2 linked regions of the Saccharomyces cerevisiae S288C genome follow. The protein of the gene in region 2 interacts with the protein of the main gene of each other region in a biochemical or structural test. Each region holds a gene or a part of one and is shown on either strand. Other genes may lie near its edges.

Region 1 (10,493 bases), on a different chromosome or scaffold from region 2:
CTACCGATATAGAATAAAACATTTTCAATAGTAGAGATAACAGGTACAATAATTAAGAAATAAGCGAAGTAGATAAATGTAGCGATTTGTCCCATTAAGACATAAGGTACTTCTACATGGCATGCTCCAATTTGTCCTAATAATACGAAATTGAATACAAAGATAAAGAAGAAGAATTTAGATAATACTTTAAAAGTATTACCTCTTACTACACTTCTATCAGTAAATGGTAAAACTAATAATACTAAAATAGCTGCAAACATTAGAATAACTCCTAATAATTTATCAGGAATAGATCTTAAAATAGCATAGAATGGTAATAAGTATCATTCAGGTACACAATTTATATATGTTAACATAAGATTATTTAATATCTTATCTCAATAATTTTCATTATTGTTCAGACTATGTCATTAATTTATAATAAAAGATTAAAACTTTTGATATTTTATAATATATATATATATATTTTTTATTTTATATATAATATATATTACTCCTTCCGGGGTTCCGGCTCCCGTGGCCGGGGCCCGGAACTATATAAAAAAAATTAATAATCTATTCTTTATTTAAAAATAATTTATAAATTAATTGGTTTTCGTGGAAAGGTATTACTATCTCAGTTCACTTTCTAGTCGTTGAACGTTTTTATATCTTATATTATATTAATATTATTATTATTATTATATATATATATTAATATATAATATAGAGATGATATAAACTTCGCTGCAAGTTGTCATAGTATTATTTATTTATTAATACCTTAGATTTTCTTGACAATTAACCAATTTTAATCATTAAACTCCTTATGGGAGTTCCCACAAAGCGGAAACTTAAGAATATTTAATGCTACTGTACTTTTTATTATTATTTATTATTAATTAATTAATTTATTTATTATAATTTTTCATATATTTAATATAATATATTAAATATAAATTATAAAGGAATATATATAAATAACCCCGAAAGGAGAAATAAATAATATATTTTTATTAATAATTATTATTTATTTTTTTTATATAAAATAAATAAGATTAAATAATAATAATTTTATTAATATTTTTAATATCAATAGATGCTGGTGTTACTAAAGGATTACCAGGAATATAGTTATCAGGATGCTTTTATAATAAATATAAAATGGACTATATCTTCATAAAAATTTATATTACACTATCTTATTTCATAAACTATTATTATTTCTTCAATCATGTTTAATGATCAGAATTTTATTTAATAAGATTGTAAAAATATAATCTACCGATTCATAATAATTTATATTATCTTTAACAATAATTTACAAAGATGTTATATTATTATAAGGAATCTTTAAATATTTTATAAATTAGATAATATAATAATGAATACGGAGAAAATTTAATTATTATTTCATTTTTCATTAAATTTTAATCAAGCTTTATATAAAGCAGTATTATGAGGTGCTTTAAAAGCTAATAAATCATATAAATAATAAAATTTATCAATTAAAAATAAACGTTTACCTTTATTAGATTTAGAAGGACAACTTTTATTATAAAGATAAAAAATATTATGTAATTCTTTATTATTAATAGATCATTTAAAATAACCATTTTTAGCTTTATCAAAATAAATATTACCACCAAATACTTCTCTATAGTATTCAACATCATGTAAATATTTATTTGTAACGCTAATAGTTAATTGAGGTCTAATTTTTAATTTACCGGAATAATAATAATTAATAGTACCATCAGCATCAAAGAACCCTATAAATCAAGCATTATCTTTAGTTAATTTAATAGGTTCTTTAAAATCGATATTTAATAAAATACATACTTTATTAAATTGTACTAATCTTTTACTATTACGAATATTACCATTAACGGCATTAATTAATTTAATTATACCTTCTTTATTTTGTAATCTATATCTAATAGCCTTAACACCTGATCTTAATTTTACAGAACCACCAAATTTATCTTGGATTTGTCTTAACATTTTTTCATCTTTTAATTCTACAAGAATTTCACAAGATGCATATTTATTTTTAGTAATACAAAAATAACCATCTCCGTCAATTAAACCGGCCAATCATTGGTTAAATCTAATATTACTATCTTTATAAATACTATAATGTCTTTTAAGAATAATTTGATTTATTTTTTTTATATTAAAAATATTTAATAAATAATTAAATTTATTTTTTAGTGTGCGTGTAGTCTCTGAAGTATCTACTAATAAATTCTTTTTATTACTCGTTAAGTGAGTATTAGAAGAATTTATATTGGTTACCTGCTGATTATCTTCTTTATAATAATATTTTACTCTATTGGGATTAAATAAATCACTTACAATATTTATTTTATTATATTGCTTTGTTCAATTAAATTTTAATACGAAATTATTTAATTGTTTTGTATTTAAAATATTTTGAATAATAAAATAATATAGAGTTTTATTATAAATTTTTCATTGATATTTAATAAATAAAGATTTCCAGCATACAGCACATAAAATATTAATTACATATGTAATTAATAATAAGGCCATATTTTGACCTAAAGTATTAGGTGAATAGAATACAAATAATGCTAAAATTAACATAAATAAGAAAACAGTTACTAAATCTTTAAAAATAAAGTATGAATGCATTGGAATTCTATCTAAATTACCTGTAATACCTAATGGATTAGATGAACCATGAATATGTAATGCCATTAAATGCATAATAACCATTGCAGCAATGATAAAAGGTACTAAATAATGTAACGCAAAGAATCTCTGGATTAGAGGGTTAGATACTGAGCTTTTAATGTTTAAATAGTTACATATTTGAAAACTATTATCAATATATCACTATATTGTTCGGACTATATCTTAATCCTATTTATGTATATATATAATTATATATAAATATTTATAAATGATTATATATTAATCATAATATTTATTTATAAAAAAAAAAGATAAATATTACTTCTAAAGTTTTTATTTCTTATTTATTAATCATAAATTATAATTAATAAAATTATACTTTTTAATTTATAGTTTCGATATCCTAAAATAGAAATAAAAATACCATAAAATGATAAGATTTTAATTATTAATAAAAATTAATAATGAAGGAGAAAATAAATATAATAAAATAATAAATAGTTCAAAGGAATTATTTATTGATAATAATATATTTAATATATAATTAAACTCCTTCGGGGTTCGGTCCCCCTCCCGTTAGAATAGGGAGGGGTCCCTCACTCCTCCGGGGTCCGCCCCGCGGGGCGGGCCGGACTATATTTATAATAAATAATTATATATAAATTATATTTTGTTTATATAATTATATAATATATAAATATATTATTATTATATTTTTATATAAGATTAATATTTAGGAGGAATTTTAAAATAATTATTATATTTAAGAATAAGACGTAAATCTTTTAAGAATAATAAATATTGTAATTTTTTATAACCTAATAATTTAATAGGGTTATTATTAATAAATATTACAACATTTTTAATACCATTAATACTTTTAAGTGTTATTCTTGAATTATTAAATTTATCTGTATAAATATTTTGAGTAATTTTTAAATATGATTTAATAGCTAATATAACTTCTATACTATTATTTTGAGATACTTCAAAACTAGCAAGTTTTATTTTTTTATTTATAGGTTTATAAATACTAAAACAACTTTCAGCTTCAAAAAAACCAATTAATCATGAAGAAAAATAATTTTTATTTAAAATATCTTCAAGAGTATTAAATGGTTTAATAGGACGTAAATAATAAGATAAATCATTATAATATTTAATATCTTTTAATAAATTATCTTTAAAATATAAATAATCATAATGTTTATTAGTTAATATAGGATATTTATCAAAAATAGGAATAATAATATTCTTTAAATGATTTTTATTTCTTACATTAAATTTACATATTTCTTTAATAGTACCATCTTTTATTTTTAATTTTTTAATTGTTACTTTACCAATACCTAAAATATTTTTAATTTTATATAATAATTGAATATCTCTAATATGTATTTCAATACCTAATTCATATAATAAATATTTACCTTTTTTTGAAATAGTAATTCAACCATCTCCTTCAAATAAACCACCAATATATGCATAAATAGGATTATCTGTGTTTAATTTATGATTTTTATCATAAATAATAGTATTATTTATATAATAACTATAAAGTCTCTGAATAATTAATTTTATATATATATATATATTAATTACTGCTAATTTTCTTCTTATAATAAATATTTTAACTATATTATTTTTATTTCAAATTATATTATTATAAATAATTAATTGAATAATATAGTAATTTATTATTCAAATGAAGATATTTCAGCATAAAACAGATTTATTTAATATTATATTACTATAATATGGATCCTCTATATTAAACCCACCTCATAATCAAGATACAATATCGTTACCTACAAATGGAATTGCTGAGAATAAATTAGTAATAACTAGTGCCAAGAAAATAATATTATTTATAAATTATTATTATTTTTTAATAATAATAATCTCAATATTTATTGATTTATTAATATAAATAATACCCTGTATTTAATAATATCTACCCTTTTTATAATTCCATTTAATCACTATTTTCTCTTATGAATAAATATTTATACCTAATAATACCATAATATAAATATTATATATAAATGTTATATATAAATGTTATATATAAATGTTATGATGGGGTTATTATTATAAAAATATTAATCATAATAATTATAATTCATTATTTATATATTAATTAGGTAAATGGAATAATAACAGTAGTTATATATATAATATATATATATAGATTATTAAACCTTGTGTTATAATAATAATATTATAAATTTTCTTCGAATAAACATTAAATATTATTATTTTTTTTATAATAATACCTATTATTGGTGTATTCTGTTGGGATCATATAATTATATAACCCACTGTCTTGTTACTTAATAATATAATTTTGACATGTTTTCAATAATATCGCATTATAATAATATAATAATTAATATAATACTATATATTTTATTATAAATAATTACCTAATTTATATTTTATACTAGGAATAATATAAGGAGATACAATTTTAGTTAAAATAGGTATAGATTCTTTTCATACATAAATAACAAATTGTGTATTTTCTTTATTGCCTTTAAGAATAGTAGATTTAATATTATATTTATTATGTAATAAATAAAGTAAATATTGAACATCTTTATAACTAAAACAATTAGTTGTGAATTTTAAACCTTTACCTAATTTACATCCATCATCTATAATTCAAATAGCTAAAGCTAAAGGAGTTAAATAATTGTCTAAAGATTTAGGAATAACTTTAATATTACCTTTTCCAGATATATTTTTAATATACCATTCTGAATAAATCATATTAAATGAATCATAAGTTCATGTATTAAATTTTAAATATTGTCTAATTTTACCTTTTTTACCTAATCTAGTTTTAATTAAAGGTAAATTAGTATTACAATAACCTAAATTAGCTAATAAACTATGTAAATAATATAAATAATTAATATTACAATATTCTTGTTGAAATACAATTCTTGTTCCTTTACCACCTTTTCTTTTTTCAGCATGACCATCTCCTAATATTGAACCATAAATAATTGATAAAATGTTTATATTTAATGGACCAATATTATTATTTATATCTTTCTTATTTGTTATATTTAAATTAATTATATATTTATTTTTATTAATATAATCTATACTCTTAATTAATATAAGATATTCTTTAGTTTTTATTATTTGTCTTATTATAATCGTATAAAAAATATAAATTAATAATATTAACATTATTATATAAATTAGTTTTATTATATTAAATATATTTGAGGCGATATTTATATTACCTCAATGTGACAATTGTGATAGGTAGATCTTTACAAATTTTCCCCCACTCAGAACTGTACGTACTACTTTCATAGTATACAGCTCAAACAATTTATATACTATATAAATCATCCTATATTGAAGTTAGCATGCTTTCACATTAATCATTTATTCGTTATTATTATTAATTAATTAATTAATTAATTAATAATAATATTAACCATTATTAATATATTTTTATTAAAATATATAAATAATTTGATCTATATTATACATTACATATAATCTTTAGCTTTTTCAATAGTCTTTTACCCACTTATCTATATTATAATTTCTATTATTATTTATTTAATAATATTATATATAACTACCATATAATATTTATATTAATATTATATGGAAATAATTGGGCTTACCAAGTTTATATTATTATACTTTCAATAATTCACTTAGGATTCTAATTTTATACCGATGAGTATTAACGTATATATATGTATTCTAGACAGAATTGAATATCTTACTTCTCATATAATTATTTTTATTTATTATTATTTATTAATTAATAATAGAAAAAAATATTGTTTATGTTACGATATTTTATAATATTAGATTGACTTACGCTATCCATATGAATCTTACCTTAATAATTAATAATAATTATTATTATTAGAGTTTCATACAAAATTATTACTAATAATGCATGTCTAATTAGGTATATGTTATATATAAACATAATCATTTCATTAAAATAATTTATTTAATGGTATGATATTATAATAATATACTTATACTTGTCTCACTCTGTCCATAAACACAACAATAACCTAAAAAAGCTGTAGCAATAGTTAAAATGAAAATAATAACACCTACATTTCATAATAGTACTCTTGGTGATCTATATGAACCATAATATAAACCTTTAGCCATATGCATAAACATTACCATAAAAAAGAATGATGCACCATTTGCATGTAAATATCTTAAAATATAACCATTATGCACATCTCTTATAATATGTTCAACAGATGAAAAAGCTAATTCAATATTAGATGAATAATGCATAGCCATAAAAATACCTGTTACAATTTGAATAACTAAACATAAACCTAATAATGAACCCATATTTCATCAATAATTAATTGATGATGGTTGTGGTGAATCAATAATATAACTATTCACTAAACTTAAATACACATTTGATTTTCTAAATGCCATATTATTATTATTTATTTATAAAATATTAATAATATTATTTATTACTAATATTTTATATATATTAATTAATAAAAAATATATAAATATATATTATTAATTAATACTTATTATATATATATATATTTATAATTATATATATAATTATATTATAATATTAAAAACTATTTTTTTATTATATATACATATTTTATTATATATAAATTATAATTATTAAAAAAAAAAGATATTTCTCATTTTTTTTTCATTAATATAATCCATTAAAAAAAAAAGTTAATAGATTTTATTAATATTATTATTATTATTTATTAAATATAAACCTCGCGGGCGCCAATCCGGTCAACTACTGGGTTGGTCATTGGTCCCGTGGATAATATTAATTATATTATATCATTATTAATTTTTTTAATAAAAAGTTAATAATATAATATAATATTTAAAAATATTTATTTAATAATAAATAAATAAATAAATAAATAAATAAATAAATAAATAAATAATATTGACGATTATATTAATATTAATGATATCATTATTATTTAATAATAATTAATATTATGAAAGATTTTTATATTAATATTATATAAATATAATATTAATAATTTTTATATTATTTATTAATATTGTTATTATTATTATTATATTAACAATAATTTATTGTTAATATGTTATTTATATTATTATTAATTTATATTCTCCTTTCGGGGTTCCGGCTCCCGTGACCGGGCCCCGGAACTATAAAAAAAAATAAAATAAATTATATTATTATATATTATATTAAAAAAAAAAATTAAATATATAATAATTATAGAATTAATTAATAACAATTATTATTATTATTATTATACATAAATATTATTTATATAATTTATTATAATATTTATTTAAAAATATTATAATGAAAAATATATTATATATTTTATTATAGTATAATAACAATCGGTATTTATTATTATGAATATATTATTTGTATTAAAAAAAAATATATATATATATATAATTGTATTATATAAAATGTATATTATTAATAATTATTAATTAATATAAAGAATATGTTTAATTATATATACTTTTTTTACAAATATTTATTATTATGAATAACCTTAATCGGAATCGAACCGATATTATCAACATGAAGAGGTGATGTCGTAACCATTAGACGATAAGGTCTATATTTATTAATAATATATATATATATAATTATTATTATTATTAATAAATTATAAAAATAAAATTATTATTATTATTATTAAGTTTATTATTACTATTTATTAACCTAATTAAAATTAAATTAAATAAAATAAAATAAAATAAAATAAAATAAAATAAAATAAAATAAAATAAAATAAAATAAAACTTCTTCTTTAAATAAAAAAGGGGTTCGGTTCCCACGGGGTCCCGCACTCCTTCTTAAATAGGGGTTCGGTCCCCCAAAGGGATCTATCACTCCTTCCTAAAAATAATTAAATATTTTTAATATATATATATATATACATATATATATTAATTTTATTAATTCATTTAAAATTTATATTTATTAATATAATTTATATATTTATCTTATTCCTCCTTTCGGGGTTCCGGCTCCCGTGGCCGGGCCCCGGAACTATTAATATATAAATTGAATTATAATTATTTTATATTATTTTTATATATTACTTATATAATATTTCTTATAATTATATTAAGATTATATATATAAATAGGTTATTATATATTATTATATATATATACTTATTAATTAAATATATTTATATTTTATATTAATGAAGTAAATATTTTATTTAATATATATATATATATATAAATTTATTTATTATAAATTATATTCTTTTTATATTTATATTTATTATTAATTAATTAATTAATTAATTAATTAATTAATTAATTAATTAAATTATTATAATTGTTATTATAAATTATAATTATTATTATTATTTTATTTTTAATAAAATTATTATAATATTAAAAAAGGGAGATAAATAATATTTATATAATCTCCTTTTGGGATTCCGGTCTTTGGCCTGGTATCCAAAACTTATATATTATATTAATCCCCAAATAAGATATTAATATATATAAACAATTCCTTCTTTAAATATTAAATATTAAATAAAAAAGGGGGTTCGATCCCACGGACTATTTATTCTTGTTAATTATATTTTTAATATTATATTAATAAGTTATATTTTATTATATATTATATTATTATTTCTCCTTTCGGGGTTCCGGCTCCCGTGGCCGGGCCCCGGAACTATTATAATTATATATATATTATTAATTTTTATTTATACTCCTTCGGGGTTCGGTCCCCCTCCCATTAGTATAGGGAGGGGTCCCTCACTCCTTCGGGGTCCCCGCCGGGGCGGGGACTTATATTTATATATTTATATTTATATTTATATATTATATTTGTATTTATATTATATTTATATATTTATATATTTATATTTGTATTTATATTTATATTTATATTTATATTTATATAATAGGTGGGGGTCCCTATAATTATTGAAAATAATTATTATTTATAGGACCCCAGATATCTATCATTTATAAATTATTATAATATTTATTAAATTTATGATATATTTTATATTTAATATGTTTTTATATTTATTCATATTATTTATATTATTTACCCTATTTTTATATTATTATTAATATTTATAATAACAATTATTATATTATTAATAAATACTATATAAGTATTAAAATAAATATCTCCTGCGGGGTTCGGTTCCCCCCCGTAAGGGGGGGGGGTCCCTCACTCCTTTCTATAAAAAGTAAATTTAATATATTTTTTATATATATAATATATTAATCATATAAATTATAAATTATATATATATATTTATATATATATATATATATATTATAATAATCATAATATTTTTATTTTATATTTTATATTTTATATATGTATTACGAGAGGGATAATTATTTTATTATATTTATATACAATAGGATTAAACATTGCCAGTGAACAACGGGTAATGTTTGATCCGTATCATATTATATTATATTATATTATATTATATTATATAATTAATAGTTCCGGGGCCCGGCACGGGAACCGGAACCCCGAAAGGAGGAGAAGATAATATTATTACTATTTTTCTTTATAAAAATAAAATAAAATAAAATAAAATAGTCCGGTAGAAAGAGATATTATAACTTTATTAAATATATTAAATATATAATAATTATTATTCCATTTAAAATTACAATTTTCGTTTCAATTATAATACTTTTTAATTATATTATAATATATAATTATTTATAATAATAGTACGCTCCGAAGGAGTGAGGGACCCCCCCCTTACGGGGGGGAACCGAACCCCGCAGGAGATATTTATTAATAATGAAATTATATTAATATATTATTATTATTATATAAA
Region 2 (7,004 bases):
TGGTACTTTTGGAGGCGAATACAAACTTTCATCAGGAACAGAAGGAATAACCGCTGAAGATCTTCCATGTGTAATAATTGAAGATGGCCCAATTCCTATCATGGGTGACATCACTGCAAGTGGATGTTCACTTGGTTCTACAATTGCTTCCTTTATCGGTGGGTTAGATTCCACTGGAAAACTGTTTGATGCTGTGGTTGGTGCTGTCCTATTATACAAATCAGCTGGTAAGTTGGCTTCCACCCGTTGTCAAGGAAGTGGTTCATTCCATGTCGAATTGATTGACGCATTATATCAATTATTCCATGAAAATAAACCAGAAAAGTGGTCCGCTTCTTTGAAGAAATTCAAATAAACTATTTACAACGTAATGATTTTATAAACTGATTAAATAAGGAAGAAAGCCCAAAAAATTGGAAAAAACTTAAGGAATTTGTGCGGATAGTATCTGAAGAATAAATAAGTGTTTTCATAAGTTTTGAAGTTACAAACTAGCTCGTTTAGTTTGTATATGACAGCCTACTTCTCTCGCTTGGTAAGGTTTTAGGATCCTTGTCTAGAGCTTCATATTTTGCAATGGTCTTGGCCTTCAACTCTTCCTCTTGCTTTGGTGTCAGTTTTTCGACCTTCACCCCAGGAGGAACAAACTTGAATTTACCTGTGGCAAACTCTCTGTCTGATAACCTGCTTAGAACATATAGTTGAGAATAAATGTATCTCACAACAGACTCTAAATGAACCATATCAATGTTCTTTCTTCCACCAAAAAGATTTCTCCAGACAGCTGTCGCAAGTGTACCATCATCTGTAGCAAATCCTTCATCATATGCAAATATCGCTCCTCTTAATTGCGTATTGAAATCTTTCAAATATTGATCTGCGATTCTACCAGAATTAACTTTCATTTCCTCGAATAATCTCAGCTCAATGTCAGAAAATGTTCTATCTACCAATTTCTGCTGATAGTTTCTGCCGTATTTGAAAGGCATGGCTCTCATACGTACAAAAAGTATCCACTCGTGCAATACAGTGATTTGAAACCATTGTGAAAAAGTACGTGGTAGCTTCAAATCCTCGTAAAAGTATTTAGCAGTTTCTGATAATGGCTCGTCCTCGTATTGTAAACCTTGCTCTTTACAAATTTTATAATAGTAAGATCCTGCAACGGGCCCTGCCCTCACTCTATCCATATCTAAATGAAATGCTCGAATTACTAGTTCACCCAAGGCTTCTTTCCATTTGGGAAGTTCGTACTTTGACGATTCATATTTACTATGAGCTAGAGGAATTTTATTCTGAGCAGTTTTCACTGGTGCTTTATTGCTTACATCTAGTGGTTTCGAATTCAGATGTGAGCTTTTTGCTAAAAGCTCTGGCGAATCTTGTGCAGTTTCTTTATTTTGCTTGAAAACACATGTTTGATGCAAATAAGCTCTCGAGTAGTAAAAAGGGGACTTTCTAAGGAAAACAGGGAGTCGACCTGAAGTAAATCTATTGACTGACATCATCAAGTGTTGGAATAGCTGAAGAGATTGTTACGGAGATCATAGTGTTTGCTAAATATTAATCTTACTAATGCGTCAGTCGAGGACCAATTTTGACGTTGTTTTCCTTGCTGGCTATAAATTCAGAAGAACGCCGGGTAAAGCCTAAATACAACTCCAGTCAGACGCCCTGAAATGGGCCAATTTATATACGAGGAATAATGAATGGTGAAGATTAAATAGTAAAAGATATTTCTAATATCTTTCTAAGGCGTATACAGGAAGAGTGATTTGAACTGCAGAGTTGTTTCTAGTTGCGTTCTTCATCCTCTCGTCGTCTTGAAATAAGTTGACATTCAATCTCCTCTAATATACCCTGCACATCAAGATGTGCAGCTTTATCTACTCGTTGAGAACTTATCCCATAGCCTGAAACATGACTAATATGCTTATACCTCTGATGATTTAAAAGCTTCGTAAGAATATCCTCTTGCCTTTTTCTTTTCGTTTCAACTATAAATTCGAGGTCTATCGTCCTCAATTGTTCGAAATGAAAATTCAAAGGATAAATCAAATTTTGTTGCTTTTTGAGAAGTGCTCTTTCACATTCTCCAAGGTGAGCTACGTCTTTTAAAATCGCTTCCAAAACGAGATCATTCTTTGTCCTTGATAGTTTTTTGGAAATTTTCTCCATGTTGGAAAAATGTTGGCCGTTGGATGTACAAGTTGTCTCAATTCTTTTCAGTTCAGGAAACGTGAACTCGTTATTTTTCAAAAGTTTGTGATTTTTTTTGAAGGTTTCATCACATTCAATACGCCTTTTAATTTTGAACTGTTGCTTGTATGATACTTCAATACGGTCCATTTTGGATGTCAAAGCTTTCTTCAATTGTCCCTCATTTTCTCTTAAATCATCCAACCTATCTACTAACATATGTATATCTTCTATATCGTTGAAGAAAGCCCATTGATGATGAGAGAGTAGGAGCTTTTCTGGAGTTTCTGATATAATTTTTTTGTCTATGAATGCCGGAATAGTTGGCCTCATTAAGATACCGTTTGAATTAATTATCATGAAATTCTCACCTTGAGCAATTTGATAGTAAGACCCGTCTGTCGACCTAAATATTGAAAAGACTTCTTTTGTCGCGTAGGCAGTACCTTTTGCTTTAGCTAACAACTCCCATTTTTTCAAAGATTCGACGTCGACATCTAAGCAAAAGTTTATATCCGCTTCAGAGGGTCCTTGAACCCACAAAAAACAGCAGTTGTAAAGTTCCTCATTTTTTTCACTGATGGCTGATGACGATCCATTTGAGTCCATCCAATAATATCGATTTCCATTTCTATCTTTACCCAAAATCTCTAGTCTCTTGATATCGCTCTGAATCAATTTTGCCTCTAGGAAGGCGATATCTTCCATTAAGTATGCAATTTTCACTTTAAGGGCATTGACCTTACCTTTACATTCATCTGATCCATATCGGTTCATTGAAACGTTGCTGTGAAGCTTCACGCGATTTTTGGTTAACGTTTTTAGTTGCCGTTTCAATTTGATATACTCTTTTTTTGCACTATCCAACTTTAAGCGGATTCCATTGCACAGTTTTGGTACTTTATCTACCAACTCCTTAATATAACTCGAGAAATTGGACGCAAAATCTACGAGAACCCATAAAACATCAATTTTATCTTTTATAGATAATCTCTTGCGAAAGTTATCCCAGAGCTCATCACCTAAATTTACAAAATTCATGGATAAAGGTAGTATTTTTTTTGTGATACATTTTGCGACATCACTATATGCTATCATATGTGTATTCTGTTGCAAGATTCCAAGGAGACAGATCAACCAATTGCCGTTGCTAAAGTTTTTATTGTGCAAAAGTTTAACCCAGCTAGTATCTCCATAGTTCAAACACTTTTCTATAGCTATATCAATTTCTGTTTTATTTCCTTCCTCCTTTCGCTTTTCTTCAGTCCAATTGTCCATCAGATTACAATTCCAATCAGGTTCATTATCCGTCATCAGACACATTAACGAGCAAACTATATCAATGTAAAGTATATTCACTTTTTCGTACGATTGAAACTCCATATCGTCATTTTTTAGAGGCTTCCCTTTAAAAATGGAATACATTACAAATTCAGTACTTTTATCCGTTATAAATTTCCTCATTTTCTGGTTTCTGGTGAAATTGCTAGGTATTCGTTGACTCTCATCTGCATTAAAGACGTTAGCCTTCTCACGCTGGGATACGTTACTACTGGTCACTTGATTATATATTTCGTTTCTTGGCTTCTCATTTGTGAAACTCCCTTTGCTGTTGTAAGTTTTAAGAAAGTTTATTTTGACATATTCATCTACTAAAGCCTCCGGACTAGTACACTTGATAGTAGTAAGGAACTGATCAAAATTAAAATGTGATAGACCAATAAAACGTCCAAAAAAGCTCAGGAATTGATAAACAACCAATAGTCGTTCCGTTGGAAATTGACTGCACTCTTTGAACCATTTTTGATCGATATTCTTATATTCTAAGGAGCTATCTAAGTAGCTGATATTTTCAAATGGTATCGAAGGCCCAGTGAATGGAAGCTCCTTGTCGTCGACGGTTCCCTTCAAATCATTGTAGGCAAGGGAGTTCACATTATCGTAAATGTGGTCAAATGAGACTGAAATCTCGTCGTCAATTGCTTTTATTTTAGATAGTGACGTTTCCGACGTTTCCGACGTTTCCGACGTTTCCTTCCAGTCAGCAGGTTCAACATCGCTCTCTGGTGGTATAGTAAGAGGAGTGTAAAGCTCGGAAGAAGATGAGTTCATTCTATCCGGCAAATAATCAATCATATTAGGAGAGCATTTAGGGTTTACATCATATCTTTCTATATATTCTTGTTTCACCCTCCATGGTGCGTGCTCCTTATTCGATACTTTTATGAGTATTTCATTAAGAAAACACGCAATTATGAATTTAGAAAAGTGTGATTCTGGCCTTTTAATTTCATTCTGGCCTACAATTAGGGCCGCACCTTTAGATTCTCGATTCAGGCATTCTGTGATTAAATACAGTGACAATTTTGGGGCAGAAATTTCTCCCTTTTCACTTTCCATCATCCCGTTAGATTGAAACACATCCTTGACAAGGAACAACGTGACATTGTTTTCAATAGTTGGTGATTCTACCAAGTTAGGCTCTCCTTCTTTATAGGTAATCAATGCATTTTTTTGGATAGTTTTCAAGCACACCGTATCGCCTATAAAGAAACGGTTACTAAAACGCTGAAATGCGCTTTCTACAAGGTGTCCTACCTTCCTTATCGGACTGAAGTTTGCGAAATTTGCTATAGCCTTCCTTAGTTCTTTTGGTAAAAGATATCTGACCTTTTCACGGTGCTGTTCTTCGCTTTTTAACGCCTTGAAATACGAAAGGCCATCTTTTCCACTAATCTCACAGGTGAATATATCCCTTTTGTAAAAATCTAGCTTTTTTAAATCACTGTCATAATCATTTATACGCTCGCTACTTTCTTTAATCACCCATGGAGTTTCAGAGAAGGAATCAGCAGACTGTCCTATTTCCTTAGGTTGTATTTTCCTTCTGTTAAGCAGAACCATTTTTGCTTTGAATTTAAAGTACGGCTAGAAGAAGAGCCAAACTAGGGATTGCGATTTTTACTGAATGAAAATGATTGTCTCTCTTACTAAGTCTGCTAACATTTATCAGGTTCATAATGTTTACTATTGAAGTGGCGCGTTACAAGAAAACAAGTCATCCCATATTGAAATGACAACAAATAGAAAAATACACATAATTCCATATCGCTAAATCACACTATCATATACAAAATGGACCAAAGTAAACAAATGTCGATTCATGCAAGTATTGTTACATATCTTGTCACTTTCTCTTCCAAAAGTTGAGGATAGCTGTAAAGGTGCATTTGCTAAACTCTCAGAAACTGCTGGTCCTAAACAATATCAAAACAAATATCAGATAGGTAAGCTTAGATTATTTTAAGGACATGTGAGCCATAGTGCAGATACTCGTACTACTGTTGTAAATATTTCTGTAATTTCAAAGTTGAGATTATCTAGATGAAGTTTTTTTTTTGTTATCGCCTAAGTTTAATGTCCGTACAAATGAAAAATTTTCAAGGCGATGAGCTGAAGTGAAGCTTCAAAATTAAGGAAAGTATTTGCGCTGTTAAGGTAAAAATATCACATAATAGTAGCCTTTAATCAGCCATCTGAGTTATCTGAAACGATGGAGCAGTCTAATAAACAGCACCGTAAGGCGAAGGAGAAGAATACAGCAAAAAAGAAGCTCCATACGCAGGGTCATAATGCAAAGGCCTTTGCCGTGGCAGCCCCAGGTAAGATGGCGAGAACTATGCAAAGGTCAAGTGATGTGAACGAAAGAAAACTGCATGTTCCTATGGTTGATCGTACCCCTGAAGATGATCCGCCTCCATTTATCGTCGCTGTCGTGGGTCCACCTGGAACAGGAAAGACTACTTTGATTCGGTCCCTCGTCAGGAGAATGACAAAAAGCACTTTGAATGATATTCAAGGTCCTATTACTGTTGTCTCTGGTAAACATAGAAGACTAACTTTTTTGGAGTGCCCTGCGGACGATCTGAATGCGATGATTGATATTGCTAAGATTGCCGACTTGGTTCTTTTACTAATTGACGGTAATTTCGGTTTTGAAATGGAAACAATGGAATTCTTAAATATTGCTCAACATCACGGTATGCCAAGAGTACTTGGTGTAGCTACACATCTTGATCTGTTTAAATCTCAGTCAACTTTGAGAGCTTCTAAGAAAAGATTAAAGCACAGATTCTGGACGGAAGTTTATCAAGGTGCAAAATTATTTTACCTATCTGGTGTGATTAATGGAAGGTATCCTGATAGAGAGATTTTAAACCTTTCACGATTTATATCTGTTATGAAATTCAGACCATTAAAATGGAGGAACGAACATCCCTATATGTTGGCTGACAGATTCACAGATTTAACTCATCCGGAATTAATAGAGACTCAAGGACTGCAAATCGACCGCAAAGTCGCTATCTATGGTTATTTGCACGGTACTCCTTTGCCTTCTGCTCCGGGCACTAGGGTGCATATTGCTGGTGTTGGTGATTTCTCAGTAGCACAAATTGAAAAATTACCAGATCCATGTCCCACACCTTTTTACCAACAGAAACTGGATGATTTTGAACGTGAAAAAATGAAAGAAGAGGCAAAGGCTAACGGAGAAATTACAACTGCCTCTACGACAAGAAGACGTAAAAGGTTAGATGATAAAGATAAATTGATATATGCTCCAATGTCCGATGTCGGAGGTGTGTTGATGGATAAGGATGCTGTTTATATTGATATTGGAAAGAAAAATGAAGAGCCAAGTTTTGTTCCCGGCCAAGAAAGAGGTGAAGGAGAAAAACTCATGACGGGTTTACAAAGTGTTGAACAAAGTATTGCAGAGAAATTTGATGGTGTGGGTTTGCAAT

The links. Proteins that work in one complex are often made in the same cells at the same time.
Region 1: the proteins of CBP3 (region 2) and COB are reported together in a solved structure, tested with the Saccharomyces cerevisiae proteins (one study listed by BioGRID).

What each region holds. Positions count from the first base shown.
Region 1 is NC_001224.1:33,142-43,634, reverse strand, and holds the start of COB (cytochrome b), read right to left. Parts: upstream 7,096-10,493; coding exon 6,681-7,095; intron 5,913-6,680; coding exon 5,899-5,912; coding exon of another isoform or gene 5,056-5,898; intron 4,495-5,055; coding exon 4,418-4,494; coding exon of another isoform or gene 3,370-4,417; intron 2,795-3,369; coding exon 2,545-2,794; coding exon of another isoform or gene 1,384-2,544; intron 1,128-1,383; coding exon 1,077-1,127; intron 339-1,076; coding exon 1-338. Other genes in the region: cytochrome b mRNA maturase bI2, read right to left, coding at 5,056-5,912, 6,681-7,095; cytochrome b mRNA maturase bI3, read right to left, coding at 3,370-4,494, 5,899-5,912, 6,681-7,095; intron-encoded RNA maturase bI4, read right to left, coding at 1,384-2,794, 4,418-4,494, 5,899-5,912, 6,681-7,095. UniProt on the Saccharomyces cerevisiae protein: Component of the ubiquinol-cytochrome c oxidoreductase, a multisubunit transmembrane complex that is part of the mitochondrial electron transport chain which drives oxidative phosphorylation.
Region 2 is NC_001148.4:141,920-148,923, reverse strand, and holds CBP3 (Cbp3p), read right to left. Parts: upstream 1,509-7,004; coding exon 501-1,508; downstream 1-500. Other genes in the region: THI6 (bifunctional hydroxyethylthiazole kinase/thiamine-phosphate diphosphorylase), read left to right, coding at 1-355; YPL216W (uncharacterized protein), read right to left, coding at 1,795-5,103; GTPase BMS1, read left to right, coding at 5,753-7,004. UniProt on the Saccharomyces cerevisiae protein: Chaperone required for the assembly of ubiquinol-cytochrome c reductase of the mitochondrial respiratory chain.